Linked DNA regions of Kluyveromyces lactis. The protein of the gene in region 7 interacts with the protein of the main gene of each other region in a pairwise test. Links are inferred from orthologs where the notes say so. Each region holds a gene or a part of one and is shown on either strand. Other genes may lie near its edges.

Evidence for each region.
Region 1: the proteins of KLLA0_E20879g (region 7) and CDC42 interact in a two-hybrid assay, tested with the Saccharomyces cerevisiae proteins (2 studies listed by BioGRID). The link is inferred for Kluyveromyces lactis from reciprocal best matches to the Saccharomyces cerevisiae genes BOI2 and CDC42.
Region 2: the proteins of KLLA0_E20879g (region 7) and NBA1 interact in a two-hybrid assay, tested with the Saccharomyces cerevisiae proteins (2 studies listed by BioGRID, with this or other methods). The link is inferred for Kluyveromyces lactis from reciprocal best matches to the Saccharomyces cerevisiae genes BOI2 and NBA1.
Region 3: the proteins of KLLA0_E20879g (region 7) and BUD6 interact in a protein complementation assay, tested with the Saccharomyces cerevisiae proteins (3 studies listed by BioGRID, with this or other methods). The link is inferred for Kluyveromyces lactis from reciprocal best matches to the Saccharomyces cerevisiae genes BOI2 and BUD6.
Region 4: the proteins of KLLA0_E20879g (region 7) and CDC24 interact in a two-hybrid assay, tested with the Saccharomyces cerevisiae proteins (2 studies listed by BioGRID). The link is inferred for Kluyveromyces lactis from reciprocal best matches to the Saccharomyces cerevisiae genes BOI2 and CDC24.
Region 5: the proteins of KLLA0_E20879g (region 7) and KLLA0_F17545g interact in a two-hybrid assay, tested with the Saccharomyces cerevisiae proteins (4 studies listed by BioGRID, with this or other methods). The link is inferred for Kluyveromyces lactis from reciprocal best matches to the Saccharomyces cerevisiae genes BOI2 and EPO1.
Region 6: the proteins of KLLA0_E20879g (region 7) and DSE1 interact in binary tests that used the Saccharomyces cerevisiae proteins (3 or more experiments, as listed by UniProt). The link is inferred for Kluyveromyces lactis from reciprocal best matches to the Saccharomyces cerevisiae genes BOI2 and DSE1.

Annotation. Positions count from the first base shown.
Region 1 is NC_006037.1:381,743-384,017, reverse strand, and holds CDC42 (Rho family GTPase CDC42), read left to right. Parts: upstream 1-1,199; coding exon 1,200-1,775; downstream 1,776-2,275. Other genes in the region: GCD6 (translation initiation factor eIF2B catalytic subunit epsilon), read left to right, coding at 1-743. UniProt on the Saccharomyces cerevisiae protein: Involved in development of cell polarity during the cell division cycle, and essential for bud emergence. Affects signaling in the pheromone-response pathway through the STE20 protein kinase.
Region 2 is NC_006041.1:1,182,024-1,185,496, forward strand, and holds NBA1 (Nba1p), read right to left. Parts: upstream 2,322-3,473; coding exon 501-2,321; downstream 1-500. Other genes in the region: MTF2 (Mtf2p), read right to left, coding at 1-254; AGC1 (citrin), read right to left, coding at 2,783-3,473.
Region 3 is NC_006039.1:1,621,553-1,625,340, reverse strand, and holds BUD6 (formin-mediated actin nucleation enhancer), read right to left. Parts: upstream 2,595-3,788; coding exon 501-2,594; downstream 1-500. Other genes in the region: EST2 (telomerase reverse transcriptase), read left to right, coding at 1-476; MMS22 (Mms22p), read left to right, coding at 2,892-3,788.
Region 4 is NC_006039.1:1,097,198-1,101,404, reverse strand, and holds CDC24 (Rho family guanine nucleotide exchange factor CDC24), read right to left. Parts: upstream 2,775-4,207; coding exon 501-2,774; downstream 1-500. Other genes in the region: CIR2 (electron-transferring-flavoprotein dehydrogenase), read left to right, coding at 1-276; retrograde cargo receptor ERV46, read right to left, coding at 3,266-4,207. UniProt on the Saccharomyces cerevisiae protein: Promotes the exchange of CDC42-bound GDP by GTP. Controls the polarity of calmodulin, and the calcium regulatory process of bud emergence. CDC24 may be involved in the initial selection and organization of the budding site.
Region 5 is NC_006042.1:1,609,820-1,614,039, reverse strand, and holds KLLA0_F17545g (uncharacterized protein), read left to right. Parts: upstream 1-1,420; coding exon 1,421-4,201; downstream 4,202-4,220. Other genes in the region: PKR1 (Pkr1p), read left to right, coding at 319-699.
Region 6 is NC_006041.1:1,194,944-1,198,363, forward strand, and holds DSE1 (Dse1p), read right to left. Parts: upstream 2,244-3,420; coding exon 501-2,243; downstream 1-500. Other genes in the region: RSP5 (NEDD4 family E3 ubiquitin-protein ligase), read left to right, coding at 3,190-3,420. UniProt on the Saccharomyces cerevisiae protein: Involved in cell wall metabolism and required for the separation of the mother and daughter cells.
Region 7 is NC_006041.1:1,863,142-1,867,275, forward strand, and holds the start of KLLA0_E20879g (uncharacterized protein), read right to left. Parts: upstream 2,801-4,134; coding exon 1-2,800. Other genes in the region: KLLA0_E20901g (uncharacterized protein), read right to left, coding at 3,266-4,134. UniProt on the Saccharomyces cerevisiae protein: Protein involved in bud formation. Functions redundantly with BOI1 to promote the fusion of secretory vesicles with the plasma membrane at sites of polarized growth. Acts as an abscission inhibitor during cytokinesis in response to chromatin bridges.

The DNA.
Region 1 (2,275 bases), on a different chromosome or scaffold from region 7:
CAAACGGGAGAGGCGTACTATACGAAAGTGATGATGAGGATGAAGATGAAGATGGATCGACCGAAAAGGGTATTGCGAACACATTAACGTACAGAGACGATGACATTTATTTATCGGATACTTCCATATCATCCATCACTCAAAAACATAGAAAGAGGAGAACCATGTCGATGACTAGTATCTATACTGATTACGAAGGAGAAGAAGACGAAGAAGAAGATTTCGAAAAAGAAGCCATCGCAACAGTTGAAAGAGCTATAGAGAACAACCACGATTTAGACACATCAATGCTTGAACTAAACACTTTGAGAATGAGTATGAACGTCACTTATCATGAAGTCAGGAATGCTTCTGTTATCGCTATATTCAGAAGAGTTTACCACTTTGTAGCCACACAAACACTAGGTCCAAAGGACGCTGTCACTAAAGTCTTACAACAATGGGGTCCTGTGTTTAAGAGACAAGCATTTGATAGTGATGAGTTCATTGATCTAATGAATATCATTCTGGATCGTGTGCTAGATCAGAAATTCGATAAACCAGATTTCATTCTATTCCATGTATATAATGTCTTGTATGATTTGGATATCTTAGAGGAAGATGTCATTTACAAATGGTGGGACTCTGTAAGCGGTGATTCAAAATACAGCGAAGTTACTGCTCTACTGGCCAAATGGGTGGACTGGCTAAAGACTGCAGATGAAGAATCATCTGATGAAGAAGACAGTGACGAAGACGAATAAGTCAATAACGTCATAAATGCCCTTTGAATTTTCATGGTTCCTCCGAAGTTCAAGATTGGTCAATATCAATCAATATAATGTAGCATGTAGCATTTCGAGTAAACGTGAGATAACCATATGCAAAGTAATCTATAGACAAATATACGTACGCATTTCAAGGCTAGTGTCCTCACTACCGGACTGCCAACCGCCTATGCGGTCTTCCTGTATTCTATATGGGAGAGTTTGACTGAAAATAATTCAAGTCACGTTACAACGTTACCCTAACTTCCTTATCTATTAACATATTCCCATTTCAAAATTGAAATAACAGAACAGGAGGACGAAGATATGTATGTGATGAAGGAGAGTAGTCAGACAAATTGGATGTTAGACATAGCACAGTCAGCCGGAAGTAACACCGTAAAGGCCTGCAGTGATAGTAGTATAAAAGCAAGGAAGAAAGGAATTTAAAACATGCAAACTCTTAAGTGTGTTGTTATAGGTGATGGTGCTGTCGGTAAGACGTGTCTTCTAATTTCATACACAACTAACCAGTTTCCAGCCGACTACGTTCCAACCGTTTTCGACAATTATGCTGTTACGGTGATGATTGGCGATGAGCCATACACGCTAGGTCTTTTCGATACAGCTGGTCAAGAAGATTATGATAGATTAAGACCGTTATCATACCCATCAACAGACGTGTTCTTGGTTTGTTTCAGTGTTATATCTCCTCCTTCTTTTGAGAACGTAAAAGAAAAATGGTTCCCAGAAGTACATCATCATTGTCCTGGTGTTCCATGTTTGATTGTGGGTACTCAGATAGATTTAAGAGATGATAAAGTGATTATTGAAAAACTACAGAGACAAAGGCTTCGTCCTATCACTCCAGAGCAAGGTGAAAGGTTAGCCAGAGAGCTTAGAGCCGTAAAATATGTTGAATGTTCGGCTCTTACCCAGCGTGGTTTGAAAAACGTTTTCGACGAAGCTATTGTTGCTGCTCTGGAACCTCCAGTCATTAAAAAGAGTAAAAAATGTATTATATTGTGAAAAGTGATCGGCCTTGTATTTTTTTTTTTTATTACCAGTACATGTATCAGGTAAGAAGTTTCTCACTCAAGGATGAGCGTTCTTAACAATCTTCCCGTTCACCATCAAGTCCAGTTTTATATTTATAGATGATTGTGAGATAGAGAGTGTGTTTCCAAGTTTTTGCAGGTTCAAAAGAGAAAAAAAGCTCTACCCCCCATCTCCAGAAAAAGCGTTACATTTCACTAAACCAACATCCTAAAACTACCAAAACTACTTCATAACTCTTTGACATTTCTATAGACAAACTGAAGTACCAAACGTTTGGTTCTTTGTTTGAATTCTAAACCGTCTAAAATACGAAACTGGTTCGAAGCGAAAAACTAAACACTATGGAGTATCGCTTTGTTTAAGTATAAAACCTCAACGAAATTACTCTTCGTGTGTGGATTTCATTATCTCATGATATATTTAACCTCTCAGGCTTCTAATTGACTTTTAGCTCAATAGTTTATATAAAT
Region 2 (3,473 bases), about 680 kb from region 7:
ACGATCTGTTTATTGAAAAACACTGGATTCAATAACCTGTTCATCGCCTCTTTATCCGGGTTCTTTTTCTGTTTGATCTCTTCTATCACCTCAGAAATGGTATTATGTTCTTCAATAGCATCTGCGGTGCTGCTGACATGCTTCTGCCCCAGTTTACAGCTCTGTGAAAGTAGTCTTCTTGTGGCTCTTGTTGTTACATTATGGAGATGAGCTTTAAATAAAAGAGATGAGTTCATTCTGGCAGCATTCAACATATCGTAAACCACCTCTGTCCTTAGATTGGCTCCTTATACAAGCTTAAACGACTGGTATCAACACTGTGAGAGACAATAGATTGAACCGTAGGCATCTTTTGCAACGTCTTTTATTAATCAAAGCCAGTGTTTCCTTCTTTGATTTAAGAATTTTTCTTTCAATACTTATTACATTTGGTATATATTGATTCTTTACTGATAACGTTAATACAAAACTGAGAAGAGAAAAAGCACAAAAAATTCGTATCAAAACCCATCAAGGGCTTTAGTAGCTCTTTCAAGTCTTCTTAAACCTTCTTGGTACTTTTCTGGATCCAGAACCATATCTGCAGTCAATCTAGAGAGAGAATCGACCAATCTTTCAAGAGCTCTTTTCTCTTCGATCTTCATACCAAGGTTAGAGAATTCTGACCCTATCAGGGTTCCCTTTGTAACATTCAATAGTTGTGAGATAGTATCTATATCGAAGGATCTTAGTTCTTTGTTGTGTTTGGATCCGATTTTTTTGGTTTGATTGTGGCTTTGGTTTTGGCCTTGACGTTGGTGAGATTTGGATCTGGTCTTCGAATGGCCTTTCTTGGGAGCCTTTGGCAGCTTACTTTGTGGAGTCCTTACTGATGAGGCAGCTTTAGTGGAATCAGCACCTTTCTCTACTATGTCCTCGTAATCATCATCATCTTCTGGATCTTTTACATTGCACACTGCCTGGTCATTCGGTTGTTGTGTGATTTGGTTCTCTGGGGTCTCCAATCTTGACGATGATGAGCTTGGAATAGAAGGTAGTGGCCTAGTAGTGTATCCATCCTCCTGTGGTCCCATGGTATCATCTTGCTCAGTAGCAGAGAAGAAACTTTCAGATCTCACACTGCTTTGTCTTGAATGTCTCTCACTCCGGCTTGCACTGGCACTGTGACCTTTCCCCATCTCCTTTGCAAGTTGATTCTGAATATCATCTAAACTTTCCTTGATAAATATATGTGACTTGGGCCTTCTTGCGCTTCTTGGTGGTACTGTTGGATGTAAGTCTGATATGATTTCAAGTTCTGGTTCAGCACCAGCGGTCTTCTTACTGTTAACTTGAGTTTCTAGTGGTGGTAATATACTCGAAGCAATTGATTTGATTTCGGATACCTGAGATATATCTTGCTGGCTTGGAGCCTGTGATATGTTTAGTGGTGTAGTGTCCGAAATTGCTTCTGTGACATTGACCTTGGGGATGTTATTATAATCAGAAACTGGAGTTTGTTGTTGCTCATCGTACGATTCCTCTTTAATTGTCGTCGTTTCAAGTTGAGATAGATGTTGACAGTCACCACTGTTACCAGTAGCACCATATTGCGAGGTATGGTCCAAATTTACCATGCTGGATCCCGAATTACTTGTGGCAGATGCGTTATAGGAATGTCCACTTTCGCTTGCTAGATTACCTGATGCGATTGATGAAGGGACCTTCTGATGGGACATCTCCATAGATACAAGTTTTAATGAGTTGTTTTTCTCTAAAGTAGGAGTCGTATCTGTTTCAGCTGGTTGCCCAATCTGTTCTTTCTTTAACGAAACCTGAGGTTCTTCCGTATCAATAGAGTTTCCTACTGGTTTTGTTGTTAATTCAGACAATGCATCTGCTGATGCAGCTGACCATTCGCTCTTAGTAGGGAAGGGCGGTAAAGCTGGCTCTTCAAAATTCTCCTTCTTCACAGCGGTAGTACTGTTATTTTTGACTATATAGGAGACTGGAACACCTTCATGGACAGTGCCTGAATAAGCCGATATTATGCTTTCTCTGTTTCCTGGCGATTGACCGTTTAATTGTAAACGATTCCCATCTGGAGAAGGCTGAGGGGACCCATACGTATTGAAGAATGCCACATTTTGATCGTTAGATGTATATGACAATTGTGGAGATGCCCTTTCAGCAGAATCTATTCCCTTGCTTGGCATATATATTTCATCATCCAAACTCTCATGTAAGCTGTAATTCTCGATCATAGCAGAAAGTCTGTTGTAATTAGGGTTGTTGCTAGCGCTTGGTGGCCTAACTGCACTCTCCAATGGCTCTTTACTCATTGTATTTGTCCAAGATAGTGCTTCTGGTTGTAGTATTTCCCTTCTTTCCAGATCAACTGTTATTGATACCTGGGATAGTATCCTCTAAAATAGACTTGTTTCCAAAGAATTCCCTCAACAACAAGCAATTTCAAAAATAAATGTATCTACCTCAATAAGTAGATGGTTGTTAGTTGCTACAATTACTATACTGGGTTGACAAACCTCTAACCTGCGTTTAGATCAAAGATTCTTACAGTCAGTAAGGTGTTGATGTTTTGATTTCACTGTTGATCTGAATTCCAGATCAGGAAAGATAGTAAACACTTAGTATTTGAAGGTCAGGTGACAAGAATTGAAGAAAATGGAAGTAGACAATAAATAGGTGTTTACATTAGTACCGCACCTTGATGCGCGTGTGTATACAATGATATAAATGCATACGTATTAAATAGTGTTTCGAACTTAGTTCATAATGTACATTAGTTGCTCTTAGGGCCAATTCGTTTCAATTCATCTTGGAACTTTCTGTAAACATTAAAATCGAACTTGGCAAAGTTGTAATCGAGGTCTATGAAAACTTTTGATATTTGACAGCTCTTGTAGTAGTAATTGAGGAAATTACTGGAGTATGGGTCCACTGATGGACCATAGAATTCTATCGGAACTGGTTCATGGCTGTAATGATTATTTTTGAAATTTTTGTAGAAGGTTGTGAACAAACCAGTGACGATGGGTGTATCATCCTCTACGTCGGAATGCTTTTTGGGTCCGCCAAAAGAGCTTGAGTTATTGTTGCTGTCGTTGTTACTGTTTGTTTCATGGTTCTTGAAATGCGATGGGAATAACCCTTGGAACATTTCAAATGCTGCCAAGGTGAAACCGAACTGTGGGGAACTTCTCAACACACGAGCCGGTCCACCTTTGAAAAATGATTTGATGCTTTCCTCTTTCAAGATCGTTCTTGCTGCATGGATTACACCTGTATACGTTGTTTCTCCCTTCCTGGGATCGATTTGTAATCTGGTCTTAATCACATCAAAAGGAGTGGTCAAATAAGCTGCTGGCATACCTGCGATCCCACCAGCCAAGAGGAGTTCCCAGGTTTTGAGTTTGTTTCTCTTGTTTTTATCATTTGGATCAAAATTAAATACATCCTTCTTTAAATGAGCA
Region 3 (3,788 bases), on a different chromosome or scaffold from region 7:
CAACAAATGTACCTTTTTGTGCACTGCAGTTAAATCTAAGAACCCTAGAAGTTTGGAAAGACCGCTCATCGTATAATGTCCTAGGAACAGTTTTGGGATCATCTAAGCAACTGTATAATAAATTACTCTGGATCTTTGAGATGAGACTATCTTATAATATGCTGGACGAGCGCTTAAATTCTTGGGAAACGGCTGCAAGGTTCCTGAGAGAAGTTGCGTTAAATGTAATTCAATCGTTCATTGTCCTTTTTAATAGGAAGAAAAGCAGCAGAAGATCTTTCAAACAATTTGTTTTCAACATTTTTCAGCGAATTGATCTTAACCTCTCTTCAGCTAATATGTTCTCGATGGAAAAGTCCGTCGCGTCAAAAGAACTGGTGTTGTCAGTTTTCCTTGAACAATTAAAATTAAGGAAGAACGCATTTGCAGACATTTTGACAAATGTCAGCGATTTGAAACTATTAATAGAGTTTTAATGCTATTACTTAAAATTATTGTACCTATATCAGACCAAAATTAACACGCAGATTTTCTTCGTCTTTTTGTTTTCTTAGGCGTTCTATCTCCTCAATGCCACCGGCCTTTTTGAAGTTACCTTTCTCAACGAAATTGCCCAACTCATCTTCAAAGGCTTCATTTTCCTTGTACTCTTTCTCTCTGTTTCTTAGTTTTTCTGCCTTTTTAATGGCTTCCACTCTACTGTCATGATCTGGGTTGAGATTCTGAACTTCAGTCAAGACTTGATCGCGGATCATATTATATGTGCCTGGCTTGGCTATCGGAAGAATGGGGTTTCCCTTATTCTTCTTTGGGGCCTTTTCCTGTTGTTCGCAGCACAATTTAACCAAATCAAATGTCTCCATAACCTTATTCAAGTCTTCTTGTAAATCAAATACGAGATCTTCTTGCAATGTCATGAACTGTTGCTCTTCACACACCCTATCTAATTCCGCTTCCCAAATAGTTTTCCAATTTGGCTTTTCGACATCTATATAATTTCTCATTTGATCCAAATCCTTCTTAGCGGAGTCTAATTCAGACGATACATTTTCAATCTTCTTCTTGGGTGTTCTCGCACCTCTAATGGCCACATCTTTACGTAATGCCTCAATGACATCTTGAAGATCGTCAACTTTACTCAAAAGATTATCAGAAACTTCGGATAACTTCGACTGGGACTTTTCCATATAATCGCGATTAGCTGACTTTCCTGTAGTTATTGAAAGGCTCTGGAATTTCTGTAGTTTTTCCACGATAGCGTTTATAGTATTTTGAAGCGATCTCTTTTGGTCGCTATGTATCTGTTTTAAAACGGTAATTTCGTGCCTAATATGAGCAACTTCTTTACGATGATCCTCATGTATAACTGTTGCAGAATCTGAGGATTTTGGACCACTTGAATAATCTGGTGACGATACGTGAGTACTATTTTGGATAATCTCTTTCAAATTTTGAAAAATTGTATCTTGCTTTTCTAATAAACCATCTTGAAGTTGGCGGAACTGTTCATCTAGAGACGATGATTGTACCTGTAATTGGAATACGCTCCCATCTATTATACCATGTAGGTGACTCTCTTCAAGTTCGTAAAATGCCTCGTATTTGGGTTCCTTCACATATATGTCAGGGAATACATCACCTCCTGGGGAATATGCAAATTTCTCAACAAATAAAAGTCTAAGCTTGTTGAAAGAGAGGTGAGAACTAGTTACACATCGTTTCACCTTCTCACCGATCTTCAAAAAGACAACAATTTCATCTATGCTTGAGTTATCACCTTTTGGTTCTGGTGCTCCTGTCATGGGATGATAATCTACGGATGAAGCAGAAGAGATTCGAGAAGGCTGTCTTTCCATTTTAATGCTTTCTGTATCAGAAACATTGGCCGCTGCTGCCGCTGCAGCAGCGGCTGGAACTGCTAAATTTTTAGACGTTGGGGAATTCGATGGATCTGAAGCTGTTTGGTTGGCTAATTTCGCCATATGATACGCTGAAAACCTCTTCGAGGCTCTTCTTTGCAGATTATTTCCCTTTTTCAATTGAGTTAACGCATCGCTTTCAGAACCCTTGGGAACTTCTAACGTAGGTATCTGTTTTGTTTCAATATGAGCTGAAGTAGATGTCGGTCCCGCGCCAGCCAAAGATGTCGTTGCGCTGACTACGGATGAAACGGAAGATCTTTGAGGAGTATGCTGATATTTCAAAGCATCTTCATTCCTGCTCAGTTTTATCATCGCCTGTTTAACCTTAAGTTTCTCCAAGAGTTTAACTATAATATCTCTGATCTGCGGTAGGTATTTATTCAACGTTTCCTCAGATGCAGTCTCTCTCAATGCCACCTCCAATATTCTTCGAAGGTCTTTTGGCACATCGCCAAGATCCGAAATATCAATTCTAGCATGGGTAAAATGTCTACTGACTAACTTGAAATCATTACCCAATTGAACATACACATCGGAAACATTACGCTCGGTAACTTTGCCCTTGGACCATTGCGTCAGAATTTGTAATAGTTGTTTAGTTGAAATCAATAGTTTCGTCACACTAGTTTCCACAGATGATGCTGATTTAGAAATTGGTGGTGGTGTTTCCATCTTTATCAGACACACCTTACGTACCTCACCCTACTGCTTCCACACACCTAACTACTAGCTAGGAAATCCAACGTACACTTTTTAAACGGTATGTTTCTTCAAAGCATTACTAGATCAAAAAGCTTTAGGTTTGATTTGGTTTGCATAAATCTTTTGTTGATAAATATCAAGAAACGTAATTTCCTGAAGTTAGGCCGAGATAATGAAACAGGAAAGTATGGAAACTTACCATTTCAGAAGCTAAGCAACCAACAGAGACGTGTTACCGCGTATGACATATAGCGTGGTTTCTGTGGGATGAATCAGGACTCTGTAGTCCCCAATTCGGAGGCTAGTGATGAAGAGATCGTAATACCTCTGCATTCGGAACCAAATGTATTTCCAATCTTCGATGACGAATACCAGGTACGCGTCATTCCGGGCAGTCTCGATAACGTAGCACAGACACCTCCTGATATTGGAGTTTACTCTAATAGTATAAGACGTGCATTGAGAAAGCGTAAAGCAATCCAGAAGATGCCGTATAGTTTGGATAGAATACGGCATCGGCAGTTATTGCAAGGGTACGATGTATCTAATTTCGAATCTCTAGCAGATCATATCAATCTGCCGAGTGGTTCCCGGCAAGATATTACTGTTAATACGGACAATGGGGGCGTGCTCAATTCGAGTCCTGTGAAGGGCGGCCTTTCACAGCAAGAACACTCGACTATTGCGTCAACAAGGCTTCGAAGGCATCACCATTTCCATATTTCAGATGATGATGATGATGATGAGGTATATGGTAATGCTGAACTAGACAGCGATGAAATTCGTGACGAGTGTCATTCGGAAAGTGACTCGAATCAGTTTGATAGATCCAGTTTATCCTATGATGATAACGTTGTTTTTAGAGGAAGGCAAGTCAATATCAGAACAGGATACAAAGGTGTATTACCCAAAATGGCGTGGAAGAAAGCACTTGATAACAATACAGTTGAAAGTAATAGACAAGGAAGAAATAAAAATAACCACTACGATGAAAATTCACGGAGTAAAGGTTTAGCCAAGAGAAAAATATCTCGTAGAACGTTTAATTCCAGAGACGACAACCTTGTAAACGAATTAATAGAATCGGATGCTGAAATTGAAGTTGGATTCCCGGAAACATATCTACGGCTACAGAATGAGCAAGATTCAATGGAAGACTCAAAA
Region 4 (4,207 bases), on a different chromosome or scaffold from region 7:
GATGATGACGAAAAATGCCATTTAAGAGTCCCTGAGCAAGATATGGAAAAACATACTAGTATTGCGTATCCAAAATGGAAGGGAATCGAATCAAGATTTTGTCCAGCTGGTGTTTATGAGTATGTTGAAGACGAAACCTCCCCATTGGGTGTGAAATTCCAGATTAACTCACAAAATTGTATTCATTGTAAAACCTGTGACATCAAGGTTCCAACTCAGGACATTAATTGGGAAGTTCCTGAGGGAGGTGATGGTCCAAAGTACACACTTACCTGAGTTTGTTAAATTAGTCAGAGTAAAATTTGGCCTGAAATATTTATTTATCTAATATAATTTATTTATTCATATCTGTAAAATATGATTTTCATTAATAACTGAACTTATATTAAATCAACCAAGTGAACCTGTCAAACTGGAATTGTCTTCATTTACCTTTGAAAAACGCCAAAAAGTGAAATCTATGTATAATACAATCAAAGGTAAAATATTATTAATATGTCTCAGTTTGTATAAGCCCAAACGTTCAATAGTCTTTCATTACTCTCTTTCAGCATATCTTTTACAACATACCAATCATCATCACTTTCCAACATCACAAAATCACCATCTTCATCCTGGTATTTTACCTTCGTGATTACTCCTAAATGTGCCAATTTCCTTTTAATCGCAAGCAACAGATCTTCCGCAGAACAGTCTAAGGATACTAAGACTGTGTAAAAATCGTTGTTGAATGAGACCCTCAGTAGAAGCATAGTGTCAGGGATTGAATTTTTGTAACTTTCGGATATAGATCTGTATTCGCTTGCAAATGACTGACGGGCATTGGACATATGGCTTTTGGGAAGGACTTCTGAGATTTGTCTGGTCAGAGTGCTACCAATGGAGGCAACACTGTTGTGAGAATATTGGACTGGTGAGGAGAATGACGACATATCGCTATTCGTATTGACACTTTTATAGGACTCGCTGCGAATTTGACGAAGAAGCTGATGAAGGCAGCTTTCCCAGTTGTTGCGGGTTTCTTCATTTTTGAATTTTAGTATGAAGTTCCCCTTTTCCTTGGCTGATTCCCAAATAATGTTCAGGGAATAGTTATCAATCGGAGCGACTTGAGTCAGGTTAACTATCATAATTCGACCTCTTAAATCCAGTTTCCCAGTGTTCTTCGTGAAATCATTCATGTTAGTGTTCGAAGAGTTTGAAAGATGAAGAACAGATGATGAATTCGATTTCTTTTTTAAACTTATTGAGCTTCCTTTCTTCTGGCTTACCTCACTGAATAATAGTATGATTTTTTCGAATAGATACACTTCAAAATCTTTTTCTGGCTCATTGGAATTGCTCGTTGATATTGATATTCTATCAAAGTACAATAACTCACCAAACTTAGCGATGCGGTAACCCTTCCAATTTACCACACGACCATAGAGACGTTTGACAACCTCGTAATTTTCTGTTCTCCTTTGATTTTCGTTAATATTCCTTGCAATGGATTTGGCAATACCCAAGGCAATCTCCAATTCTTTAGAATCACTTTCTGCGTGTTGTAAAAGATCTTTGAGAAGTAATGGGTATCTACACAATCTTTGGACTGGTTTGAGAAGGAATGATTGCAGTTCCATTTTATTACCGATGACAAAATTAGTGCTATTTGGGTTCATTTTGTTGAAACTAGACGAAATGAAATCAATCGCTGCATTTTGACCTATGGACCAAGGTTCATATAGCTTGAAGAAATATTTGGAATGCATGAATAAGGCCCCGATTCTTTGTTTTTGAGATGGAACTTGACCGTTGACTTCTAATGACACTAAAAACCGTCTTTGGAAATCGATTATGTCATTCAAATTGGGGAACAGCATGTACAGTTCTTCCGAGTTGATAATTTGGTTGTCTAAAAGTTGCTTCCTATACTTATTCAGAACTTCTAGATCATGCACGTACTTTCTCTCAGTCTCGATGAATTCTTTGACAATTTTATCATATTCTGTCTGTGGTTTCGCAAGACGTTGAGATTCCAACTGTGTGCTCATATCAATTTGTGGGAATACTTCAGGTGCAGCATTCAGCAACGTATTCACAACGTCCAAAACTTTCAAGAAATGATCTGTCGAATTTGAAAAAACGTCAGAAATGGTGAACAGTTCTTCGTCATTAAATGCAAAATGTTGTTTCAGACCAAGAATGAAGTCGTAGATAGATTTTTTACAAATCTTAATATCATCTGACGAGACCACCGTTAGCTTAGATTGAGGTCTTACGGCATTGAATATAATACAAAGTGGCGAACCCTGTTGAAATAGTTTAGAAAGTTGCGTTACAGGGTCACAATCGACAGATATAGGCGTAATACCAACAGAAAAAGTCAGTAAAGTGTCCTCCATATTAAAGGACTGAGAATGCTCAGAGTCCTCTCCAAAACTCGTAGCCGAGAAACTAGAGTCCCTATGAAGAGTACTTGAGGAGGAAAGTCTACCATTTGTACTTTGTGCACTACTACCTTCGTAATGCGAACCTCGCTGCCGATGTTGCTGCTGTGACTGCTGTTTCTGCGATAAAAGCAGGGCTTGGTGTTCTGCTAGAATCTCTGAACTCGAATGCGCTAAATTCAAATATGGTTGGAGCTGTGGCAGAAACTCTAATCTCTTCTTGATCATTAAACACATATGATATAATGACTCCTGTGCTGTCACCTTTTTGTTCATTAATAAATGTGTGCTATTTGAACGCACACTCGTCAGCGAAACATTGGATACTGATGGATTTACCGCCATTATGGCAGGCTGCAACTAAAACAGAATTATTCTCTGACACTCCTAGATAGTAAAAACCTTGTTTGTACAGCTCTGGAAGACTTACAACGATAAGAATTATTTTAACTTCACTTCGAAGACACTGGCTGTTTCGTTAATTTCAGTATTGTTTTATTCTATTCTTTTTTTTTTTTTCTTTCAAGAGTAATGTCAATACTGAGATCTCTGGGTCAAAACCTTTGGGGCCCGAAAACATTGTTGTGGATCAAATTCTGGAGGTTCTTTTTATATAGGAGATACTTCTCAGTGGTATTTAAGAGTATAACACCAATTAGCGGCACTTGCCAGGTGTCGTGTAATAATCCTACATATCTGGCATTGAATATTGATATACGCTAGAGTTTCGTTCTATAACTGGAAAATAAGAATTACAAGTGTCAAACTCACACATAACTTCTATATATGTACTTTTATAGAACAGTAGTACAATTTCTCTTTCTATCTATCTTTGCTTAAGAGCTCTTCTTACCCCAAATAGATTTTTGTGCTCTGTATGTGATTTTGTCAATGACAGTACCAACTGCCAAGACACCACCAATACTTGTGATACAATTCAAAAGGAAACCAGACCATGATGTTGCATGCTGTTCTTTATTTATGACTTTTAAAGGCGACATCTCAAAATTGAAGAAAACACCTGGGACACCTCCTTTAGAATGAACAGTGTTTGGATGGTCTTCGTCCCTGCCCCCTCTTAGAGGCCTATCGTGGTACGTGGCGCTGAATTGAGTAGTTTCAACTTTTTTACCATCTAAGAATTCGAATCTGGTAGGAATGATCTTGCAGAAGTATGAGAACTCATGGAAGTGTGTGTCGCGGTCTGGGAACACTTGGCGGCTGTCTAATGGTGAAATTGAAGCAGAACCGATCAATTCGCTGTCTCCATCCTTGGGTTTCTCTCCAAACGTCAAGGTGTTGATTATATGGTTGAAGTTCAAATGTGGGTATGCATCGTATAGCGAAGTGTCGTGGAAATGGCCACGGATATTACGCATTGAACTACCTGGACCGAAGTGGATGGTACCTTGTATTCTGTTTAATTGAGCACGTCCTTGAACACGACAACCTTCATGTATTCTGGCATTGATGCTCTCAACATATCCTTCACGTTCACATTGTTCCACACCTTTACCATCCTTGAATGCCCATCCTTTTTGTCCGTAGGCTGCACGCACATCGTCACAAGTTTGACAGCATACTTTTTGATCTTGTGGTAGCTCGTCATTCTTTGATTGGTCTAATGCACCATAACATGGTCCACAGTATCCTTCTTCGTTGAAGCTTTGCTTTGATGATTTGTCACCAACTTGGAACTTCTCCTTAGAGAGTTCCTTCCCTTCTGGGCTAATTCTGATCTTCGTGAATCCCGAATCTAATAGGTTAATCTGAAATTC
Region 5 (4,220 bases), on a different chromosome or scaffold from region 7:
ACTTCATTATTCCTCTGTTATCGGTCTGTAAATTATAAGTTTGACATACATAATCTGTATCTTAAAATCTCTATATTAAAGTTTTAAAAGTAAAATTCTTCTATACATATACATACGTTTGCCAGTGACATAACATAATACACCCGGCTCGATCAGAATAGGAAGTCGTCATTTCATACTTACAAGCTTGTTCACTTGCATTCTGGCTATACCTTGCTGATTTCTACTCCAGGCTCATCATCGATTTCTAGTACAGCATATTATAATCCTCCGTTGCCAACCACTATAAAAAACGAAATTCACCTGAGACACTCAAGAATGACTAACTTTGTTGTTGCACTGTGGGAAAGCATTTTCCAACCAGGAACATCGCCTCAATTGATCATTGCTACTCATATCTCGTTTGCACTATTGCTTTGCGTGTTGGGATCGCAGATCTATTTAACCAAAAATATCCATTTCATCGCATTAACGATTATCGCCACTCTACTATGGATCACCGTGACGTGGTTCATCTACGAATTACAAAACACAAAGCTTGTTACCAACGAAGATCTACAAACAGCTGAATCTAAAAAGACTGATAAGACTGAGCCTTCCAAGCCCTCTGAAGAGATAAATCTAGAGGGTGTTGCGAAACCTGATCCTAAACCATCATCTACACCTAAAAAAAGGAAAACAAAATCAAGAAGAGCTTAAGCTGGTGATAAACCATTCTCTCACCTGAGCAACTTTCTGATTAGACTACATTGGACAGTAAGTAAAATCATTTTTAAACGCAATAACCACTGCATAGACTTGTAACATTTGGGAACCATATAAAATTTAATTCAAATACAAAGGTTGCAGAAGCCATTATTTCGTCAGATTACTACGATCTATTATATACAACGTTGTGTAAAGGCACATCCTAAATAGCTGCCTTCCGTTTCCTTTTTCACTCTTCGTTATTGTTTCATGCATAATCCATACATTTCATGTTCGCTCGGAACTTCTATGGCATTCAGATTTCGTTTTGAGAAAAAAAAAAAAATATGAACGGAAAGTAAATGAATCTTAGGTCTGTTCAAACAATTTAGGAATCAGTTTGAGTTTTGGACTTAGTCACTATTAATAGGTTGTATTTCCTTTTATCTATTCTCTTTCTAGTACAGTCATTTAGCCTAGGTTCTGGCAGAATTTATAATCCAGAGGAACCAATCCACAGTACGAGTGTAATTGACTTATTCCCTACCGATTTTGGAACGCTTCTTTGGTACATCAGGACTTTTGATAACAACTTAGAGGTAAGTCCTTAGATTGTTTGTTTGTCATTGTTAAAGGAACTTTTCTATACGTAAGTGCAGCTCATTTTACAACTAGCCATCTTTTCGTTTCTTGTAGGTTGTGCTTTATTTCTAACCTTTTCTGATCGTGGAATATGGATGCCGGTGTTACTGCGCTTGATCAACGACGTGGAGCGGGCATGTCTTCCAAGGCCCAGCTGCGGAACCAGTTACTTCACAGCGATATAGGGAATATTGATATTACTAAGGAGCAGCAGATAAACAAGCAGAAGGGAAATACAGGCCCCATGGCCCCACCTGTAGTTCCGTTACAAGCCCAGCAGTACGAGTCCAATTACAACCCTTCGTCATATAATTACATGCAACAGCCTCGACAACAATCTCTGCAGATGCAACCAAGACCACATTTTGATTACCCAGGAGACAGTAGTAGGAAATCATCCATGAGTTCTTCTACTGCTTCCTTCTCTAATTTCTTCAAGGGTAAATACAAGAAACTCAATCAAAAGAGACACAGTCAATATGACGAAAAAGCTAATGAGGATGACGATAATACAGACTTTTCGGATCATGATTCCTCTTTCCTTACATTCAATGATATTTCTTCCATGAGAAACAATGGTGGGCACGCATACGGTTACGGTGGACATCTAGATGATACCTCTCCAATAATACCGACCATCGTGACTTCCGGAAACACAAACTCAATGAACAATATAGAATATAGAAAACTTATGATGAATCAAAAGAAAATGGCATTTAACAGTCTTGCGAAGCAGCAGCAGCAGCAAGCGCAGTTCAGTGCCTCAGTTCCAGGTGGTCCTAGAACAATGTCCTTGCAAAATTATCATCAACGTCCTATGGTAAGGCCTGGTGTTTCTGGCCCGGGAACAATGATGGGTCCAGCAGGCCCTCAGCAATCAAGAATCCCTAGGCCTCCAAACGGTAGCAGATTCAACTCTTTGATGGGAGGGGGGGCTTCGCCGATGGCTGGTAGACCAGGGTATCCTCCCCAACAAGGTCCTCCAAATGACCCACGCACAATGTCGTTAACTGCTGACAGACGTCCACCAACTCAAATGAACGGAAATTCACAGTTTAGAAACGGTTATCAAGGTCCGTATGCCGCGTCACCAACAGGATCCCGTAACATGGGTTTTCCTGGTCAAGTTAATGGACCAGTGCCGGCAAGAGGTCCACCTGTTACTGGTAGCTCCCAATATGGTCCAAACTCTGGTCCAAGAGCCATGTCCCTGCAAACTCAATCGTATCCGCAACCATTTTATCAACCAAAACAAAATGTATCGCAGGATAATGTATTCAATGAAAGACAAGCAACAAGCTCATTAGCCCCTCCGCCACAACCACAGCAGCTGGTGAATAAGGCGGCATCGGGCTCATCCTCTTCATATGCCAGTGTGAATAGCGTCATTTCTGGTAGGGTTTCTGAACAAAGTTCTCCGACAACTCCCTCGAACGCATCATTCGATGAACAAAATCAGATACCATCACTGCCAAGATCACCGGTGAAATACCAACTACATGCCACTTTGTCGAATGATAATGAGGACTTTGAAAAAGACAAGGCTCTTCCTAGCTTTAACGAGGAAGAAGAAGATCAACAAACCTACAGCGGGAATAAGGATCATTCACATAGCGATGAGCAATATGATTCTGATTCATTGGTGAAATTGAATATATTAACGTTAAGTGAACCCGCAAGACAAGTGTTGCAGATCGAGGAGGAAAAAACGGAAAAGGAATACGACCTAGTGGATTCCTCGGAAACGAAAAGCAACCAGCAAGATTCTTTGAATGATGACATAAATCTCAGGCCATCCACCGCCTTGATACAAAATATTCCCGTGGATCTATCACCAATATTAAATCCTGAAATCTCGGACAACTCTTCCAGTCGAAACTTTGGCGACAACGTCAATAGAACTGAATCAATTGTATCAAAAGCCCATGCGGCGGTCGACAGTGGGAATAGTAATACTAACGAAGTACTACAATCAAAACATGATTCCTATATCGCATGTTCTGGTGAAAAAGGCTTGAAGAAATCAGGCAGCAGTTTCCAGAAAGCGAAGAACTTTTTGATGAAGATCAAAAGGACGAAGAGTGGCGATCAAAGACCGCTCACTACTGTACCTTCGTCCGCTAGAAGCAGCAGGAGTTCGATGGCAGTAGATGAAGGATCCGAAATCCAGTTAAATGATACTTTCAGGGCGAAATCGGGTGCATCCAGCGATAAACGTAGAATATCATATCATTCTCTTTTTTCCGCGTCATCTGCTGGTAATCACCACGACCAATATAGTAATAAGGAAAAGACATTTGACAGATCAACTTTGCAAATTCGTAAGTCGATGATTATTGGTGAAAGCACAGAGATACAGGAAGTGCCTTGTCTTGAGAAAGAATATGTAAAACAGAAGGCTGAACCTATTTCCGCGTTGCCATATAAGCCATCTTTTGCTTCTGAAAAGGATCCCAAACAACCCCTGTTGATCACTGAAGAGTATTTGAATATTTTGAAACAAAATATGATGTTGATGCAAGAGCTACAATTGGTTTCCACGGAATTAGCCGAGTCTATCGCAAGGGAAGGTAGATTAGAAAGTGAATTAGAATCAAAGAATCCGAAGGAACCAGAGTCACCTCAGGCTCTTTCTCTACTGGATTTCGAAACGGAATTAAGGAAAAAATCGTCAAAGATTGTTGAGTTGATTCAAAATTTGAACGAAGAAAGGCTCAAACGTTTCATTGCAGAAGAACAGAATTTATTATACCAACATGGTATAAAGCCATCTCCTAACGAACTCGCCCTTCAAATAAATGAGCTGAAGACGCAACTGCAGTCCAAAGATCTACTGATAGAACAGTTGCAGAAGCAAGTACATGATTCTTGAAGCAAAATGAAAAGAATCC
Region 6 (3,420 bases), about 670 kb from region 7:
AATTTAACCCTCCTTACCTATTTGTTGTCCTGTTGTAAGAGCTGAAAAGGCGTTGATCGTCTGGGTTCTCCAATAACAGGCACACACGGATACATTTAACGCTGAGCGTTTTGCTTTTATAATTTTTTTTCCAAGGCAAGAAGGAACCTTTCATATCTTTGTGTCTCTCCCATTCCCATGATCTTTCTCGCTCGGTTCGCATTTATTAGACAAACTTACACCCTTGCTTTAGCTGAGGAGAACTGACAAATTACATGAACATCCAGATATGTAAATAGAAATACATATTCATAATATTTTACTTTACTTTAATATAAATTGTAATTTAGTTTCAAGGAACTTAAATAACGAATTAAGCACTTGAAGAGTATATTTAATCATTGAATTATTTATTAGCTGATAGTAAGTTAAATTTGAAGTGAATGCAATGCAATATAATTTCCACATGGGTAACAGGTTTCAATGAATTGCAGAAGGTGATTGAGGGAGGTGAACGGGTATCATAAGCCTTCGCATACAAATGTGGCATCGCTGCCTCTTCTAATGCCAGACAGAAGAGGGATTGTGGGTATATCGAATGAATGGGTTTTACCGTCAAACATGCTATCTAGTGCAGGCGTCATTGGAGAATGGGCTTCGTATTCCAGAGTATCCTCAGAATCTTCAAACGCAGAATTGCTACTATCCTTGGTTGTTTCATCTGAACTGGAGTAGACCATAGTAGCTGGAGGTTCTGATTTCGTTTCGGTCGACACGGATTCGAGTAGACGTAATGGGTTCCTTGGTGGAGGTAAAACCATTGGCATGTCAACAACCGAGTACGATCTTAGCTCTTGATCTTGCAAGGATATGAAATGAGAGTCTGCTAAGCCGACGAAATGACTCCCTAGATGTTTCTTGTTTCCGATTCTTTCCAGATCTGGAGATTGAATAATGTTACCGTTTTGCACACAGTCCGCTGGTAATCCAAAGCTCTGGATACCATGAGATGGTCTGCAACACATTACTTGGTCGGTGAATTTCAAATCTTTGATATCCCAGGACATTATTAAGCCTTGATCGTCTGTACTATATATTTTCTTCATTTCATTATCGTAATCGAGACTGTTGACATGTCCGTTATGACCCAACAGGTGTGCTCTAACCTTCCCATATCTGATATCCCATATCTTCAATGCCTTTCCGACCGAATTAACGACCGTATATTCATCTAACCATTTGGAAGTATAACATTTGCCAGACTCGGCATTGCTGTCCTGAGGTCCAGGGACACGTATTCCGTTACCATCACCCAAACGAAGATCCAACAATGCAATTCCGGACTGCCCAAATTTCGTTCCTGTCAGAGAAAATGTGAATGGATTGACTGGGTTAACATCAACGTGTTCCAAACCGGGGAAACTGTTCAAGTATAATGGGTCTTTGCACTGTTGGTTCACGTCATAGACAAACAACGAATCGTTAATGACAGAGGTGAAATGATGCTTGTTCCAGGTCTTCAAATGACGAATTGGTTTTGAACGACTTGTGTTATAAATTTGCGTAGCAAGATCAACACTATCCATGCTATCGGTGATCACTTTCAAATGTTTGGAATGATTGAAACGTCTTAGAATTTTGGCGTTCCCATTCTCGATTGAAGTTGCAATTAAGTTCACATATCCATCAGAGTGTCCTGAAAGTAAGATTCTGTCATGGACTTTATCATCGAAGGAAACTACGGTGTCATTATTCTGCGATTGCATGATATCTGTAGCCAGAATAGATTTTCCTGGAACAGTAATGGTTTGTAAACTATGGAGCAATTTCCCACCGCGAGCCTGCTCATTAATTTCATTATTCCGCAATTGGAACAACTGTAAATTATCCGATGTCTGTGATGTGGAAAGTAGAATGGTGTCCCTATCCAATGACATTGAAGTGACGTCCCTAGTGTCTTCTGACAGTTTCCAACAATCTGTCTTCAATTTTTTCGTGACAATGACATCGTTCAAATCACCACTAACCTTCCTTAGCAAGGAACTGTTCAATTTCGAAGCCTCTATCTTGCAATTCCGCCTGACAATAGTACTGTTCTCGTCATCGCTAATATCTCTTCTACTCTTCTTGACGATGATGGCGTTCTGTCTGAATATCTCTGGAGCCCTGTAGAATTCAGTCATAATTTTCGCAATATACAGTTTCTTATTTGACTTTGTGTAATGTTTGCACTGCAGAGAATAATTGATTGTTAACAGGTACATCCATTAGAGGAGTAAGAGCTGGTCACTTTTAGAAACGACATGTTTATATATGATACAGGGCAAATAAAAATAGCACTAGCAAACACTGAGCCAATCAAAAATAGGACCAAACGCAGAACAAGCAACAAAAATTAGAGAAAGGCACGTTACCTATTGAGTGTGTTAGGCAGCCATATGAGCAAACATCCTGTTTATGTTTGCAAGAGGTTTGTTTACCTGTAAACAAACCCAGCATCTTTAAAGCTGGCAAAGGCTTGTTTATATTTATGTCATTTTGGACGATATGATTTTTGTCACGTGATGCCCATAATCGTCCCATATGCACGTCATCTGACAGCAATACGGCAGATTCTTGCAACCTGGTGGCTACCACCGCCATTAATGCCGTTTCCGAATTTACTGACATACTCGGCGTAGCCTGGTATCCCTCTTTAGTACTCTTTTTCCAGGTTTCAATCTCCTCACGTGACAAGTAAAGGAGAAAAGAAAATTGTGATTTGCATATTTTAATTAAGGAAACAAAACAAGAACAAAGATACTTTACTTGCAAACAACATCCGATTTAATCATCAGATCAAGGTGCTAGAGGATAAGCAAACGTGCATTGACAGTGGCAAAAAGGACGGTACGGAAAAGGGTATTGAGCAAGGTATTGATCTGATTTTTCTTTGCTTCTTTTTAGAGGAATCATCAACTTTTTTTCTGGTTCTGTTTCCTGTTCTGTTTCTTTGCAATTACGACAATTAAAGAAGACAAAAGACAAAAAATAAAACCTTATAGGCTTTCTCGGGCGGTTTTATTTGTTTAATAATTATTGCTGTTACTACCACTTATCAGATATCTAGTGTTTGAAGACTTTTCAATTTGTTATTGAGATTCCACTTTGAAGGAGAAATTATCGGATTTGAAATTGACAAACCATTAAAAAAATAAAAAGCTGCGAAATATGTCTATCTCTGTGAAACTAGTGGCTGCTGAGTCATTGAACAGGAGGGATGTGTTTAGATCTCCTGATCCGTTTGCAGTTTTGACTATCGATGGTTCTCAGACGAAATCCACAGCGGCTGCAAAGAAGACGTTGAATCCCTACTGGAATGAAGTATTTCAATTCAAAAATGTGAGTGAAAATTCGATCTTAACTGTTCAAGTGTTTGATCAGAAAAAGTTCAAGAAGAAA
Region 7 (4,134 bases):
CTTCGTCATGTTCATTCAGTGACCTTTGCTGCTCTCTCAGTCTAGTTTCTTCACGCGCTTGGGACAGCATTTCCTGAGCTTTTGTTAATGAAACGGTAGGCGTCGCACATGAACTGATAATAGGAACTGAAGTGTCAATGTCAATGGTAGCTTTGATAAGAGCTGCTATCCATGCTCTCATCTCCTCTTTGGTGTCTACTGCGAAGTAATGTACACGAGGCTGAGTAAACGTTAGACCTTTCTTGGAGCCAGGTTGAGGAGGAACCAATTTAAAGCAATAACGCCCTTTACCAGTGCTAGCAGCATAGAGAGAAACAAATTTGTCATCTTCTTTTGCTGGCAACACTCTATGAGCGGTTATATCAATCAATCCACGTTCTCTATTTTCGGTTGTATTGGCAAAGTACGACAATCTGGTACCATGCAACGTAAAGAATCTATTTTTCCAAACACCCATAGCACCAGTACCCTTCTTACTCATCCAACCTGAACAATCTGCTTCACGCATAGCTTCGGATATAGTAATACTACGGATACCTTCCGTGAATGCGGTAGTTCTTTGTTTTCCGACATTTTTCGAGCTCGTACCGCGAGCTGTTCTCGGTTTAGTTGATTCACTCACAGACCTATTTTGATTAACATCCGGTTCGTATAAAGTATCTTTCGCGTCATAAAATACATCCGAGGCAGGTTCTTTAGCGCTAACAGAGCGTCTCTTAGCTTCTTTTCGAGTTTGGGGGTTTGGAAGGTCTTTAATAGGAGATGTACTTAGCATCATCGAATGTCTTTGACTAGGCGTACCGTTATCAATAGTGTTGAAGGGACTAACAAATGAATTCTTCCTGCTATGAGAAACCGACGTCCTTCTTGATGTTTTAGTATGTGCAGTATCTGTCTCGGCATGCTCATCCTTCTCTTTGAAAAATGACAGCAGAGAAGAATTCCTTCTATGCCTTCTTTCTGAGTTGGCTTGGGAAGGTTTTCTACCATGATTGGTAGAGTATGAGGTAGCTCTGGAATGCCCGTATACACTAGAAGAAGGTCTTTCCATATTAACACCAGTTTCTGCATCAGATTCACGATCGGCCTGTTTATTTTCTGTATTTTCCGACAGCATTGATATCCTGTTAAACAGTTCGACGAAGGATCCGCCTGATTTGGTTTTGACATGTCCGGAGTAGACTACACTACCGCGATTCTCTGAAACTTGCTCAGTTGGACTTGGGTTTCGTTCGATAGATTGTGTTTCCTTGAAATATGGGTTTGGAAGGCTAGGGGTACTAGAAGTTGGACCCTGCTTCCTTTTAGGAGGAAATTCGAACTGGTCGTGAATCTCATCCTCCCTCGATTTTTCCTCCTTTGCCTTTGCTTTACCATCTGCCACTTGTTCATATATCGTGGGATGTGCGTATTTGGAAGTTTGAGCACTGGACATTGCGTTAGGTTGAGGTGACAAGAACCTACCGCCAGAGCCAGAACTAGAAGCACTAACCATAGGTGATTTTGGAGGCTGGACTGGTGATGGGTATGAAGGAGGCTTTGGGGCACGTCTAGGCGACGCGAACACATCTTCTGAAATATCCGGAGCTTTAGTAGTTTCATTAGTAAATAGCAAGGATGCTGGTCTAGGTTTCTGAGAGCTTTTGGTGTGTGTTCCAGACGATGGGGTTACGAAGTTCTTTGGAGTTGGAGTCGAATTTGAATTTAGTTCCTCCATAGATTGTGATGTTTTCCTTAGGTGGCCTCGATACGTTGGAATATCATGGTTAGAAGGTGAGGTTATCGTTATCCCAGCATTTTGTTTGAATGATGCAGCGGGCATCAAACTATTCCTGTTATTGGCAGAAGTGCCATTCTGGGTCGATATTTCCTTCAAAGCCTCAATTTCTTTAAAGATCTCAAAACGAGTTCCAAACGAGTTTATCTCCAATTCCTTCAAATGCGCTAATTCTAGTTCCAAAAGAATTGTACCTGAAATTTTATGCTTTTGGAACCTCGATGCTGATTCCACATCGAATCCCAATGAGATGAGGTAAGCTGTAACCTGTTCCGGAACCCAATTCTTCACATTTTCTGGGCGTAATTCGTTGGTTCCAGTAGAAGCCAGGCTATTACTTTTGGTGAAATCTAATGATGAACCTGAAACAAGTCTTTTCAACCCAGGTCTTTGATCATAATCGATGGAATCAGTTCCAGAGGGGAAAGAGTCACCCCTTAACTCTTCAAGTGCCTTATCTATATCACTCATTGTGCTTTTCATTGATATGTTCCTATCCACAGGAACTTTTATCATGTCTGAGTTGGGCGCTTTGATATTATCAAATTTCCTATAAGTTGCGGGTTGTGCAGTTTCTAACGGCTGAGGGGTAGGTAGCTCACTGGTGGACCCATCCTGGGACGGGTATGAAAGATTTGTATTGCTTCCAGAGGCAAACGGACTTGCGATTCTCTTGGAGCTTTTTGCCCTCATCAGGGCTGGTTTGCGTTCCATAGCAATGACTTGAGTGAAAACTTTGGGATACAGGCCTTCTTCTTGTGTTCTTAGATTCTTACCAAAATACCAACCATCGTTATACGACCCATCATCGGTGACCACTTGAATCTTGTCTCCAGGCCTCATATCTAGTTCGTCATCCATACGCTTACTGTACTCGGTGATACAAATAAACAACGGGAATGTTTTCTGCGGCTGAAACCCTGCACCTAAGGGTGTTTCTCCAACAGATGGCACGCCTCCACTGGTACTCCGTAAATTAGTGGTATCTATATGGGTTAGCTTAGGTACTTTATTAGATGCCATACTGATTTTGTAGGTATTTCTGGAACTCGAACGGTATGATACGGCTGAGATGCTCTAAATGAAGTCCAGCGAATTGTTGAGATGAAACGTATAAACTATGAGGAAAATGGAAAAAAAACAAAACGAAACTGCTCTATTTGCACCAATATATAATTCGTCCACGTTAGCAAACCTCTTACCACAATTTTGAGCACTTTCGGTGACCAGACTATACTACGACCCTTGATGGTTCTTATGTTTTGGTTTTTTACGAAGTGCAACTTACTTTCTAATGTTTGTTTCTTTAAAAGTCCACGTCTTGCTTCCAAATTTCCATTCTGTTCCCAAATAGCGAATGCTCGTTACCCGGACTTGCGACCGATACCTAACGACTGGTTCTTCATGTTACCGTTGGTGATTCATCCTTAATTACGGGTCTAAAATACATAGTACTATCATTTATTGTCCAACTATATGACCGCCATATCAAGCGCTGAGGAAAGCTGAGATAACGTTTTTCTGTATAATTTGTATTTGAAGTAAATGTCCGTCATTTAATATGAATGGGATTATGCATTTGTTGATGAAAGAGAAAATGATATCATTCTGTGAGGTTTGGGGCAGCTGTAGGACCTGAAATGTAAGTTTTTGTACCCACGAGATGTATTCGGGCATTCCTGATAAGTCTTGCTTTCTGAAGTGTGTCTTGTTATTGTTCAAAAAGGTCGCATCAGATGAATTAGTAGAAAAAGAACTCTTTCTATTAGATGGGGTATTGGTACCTCGAGATGAGCTGGAATTAACAGAACCATTCATATTTGGGATTGATGACGATTGTCGGTTAAAGGGGCTAATTGAACTTGATGCTCTGCCTTTATGGTCTGGATTGTTTTCGCTTGAAATGTGTTGAGACCAACGTGACATACCTTTCATTTTTTGGAAAATGCTTCTCTTTGACTTCGTCGAAGCTATACTCTTGTTTCCCGAACTTTTCGCACTAATTATAGATGCTGAATCGCTTCCGTTAGCACTTGGTCTGCGTTTGGAGTTCAATATAGAGCGATGAACAGTCTCTCTATCCTGATATCCGGGTTTCCTCAGCGGTGGGCCCATAGAAAGACTGGGTGTCATCATTTGCGGCTGAACACCACTCAGTAATGACGCCTGTACCAACTTGTTTAGATACTGAAGTGTACGTGCAATAACTTCCACGAATTGAGAGTCACTTCGACGTGAATAATCATCAAGCGTTTGGCTCAAAGTCTTGATCACATTAATCTTCAAAGGAACGTTCTCCACAGGAAAATCACTGCCATGGTGATATATCCATAGGTCCCACGTATATTTATCTAATG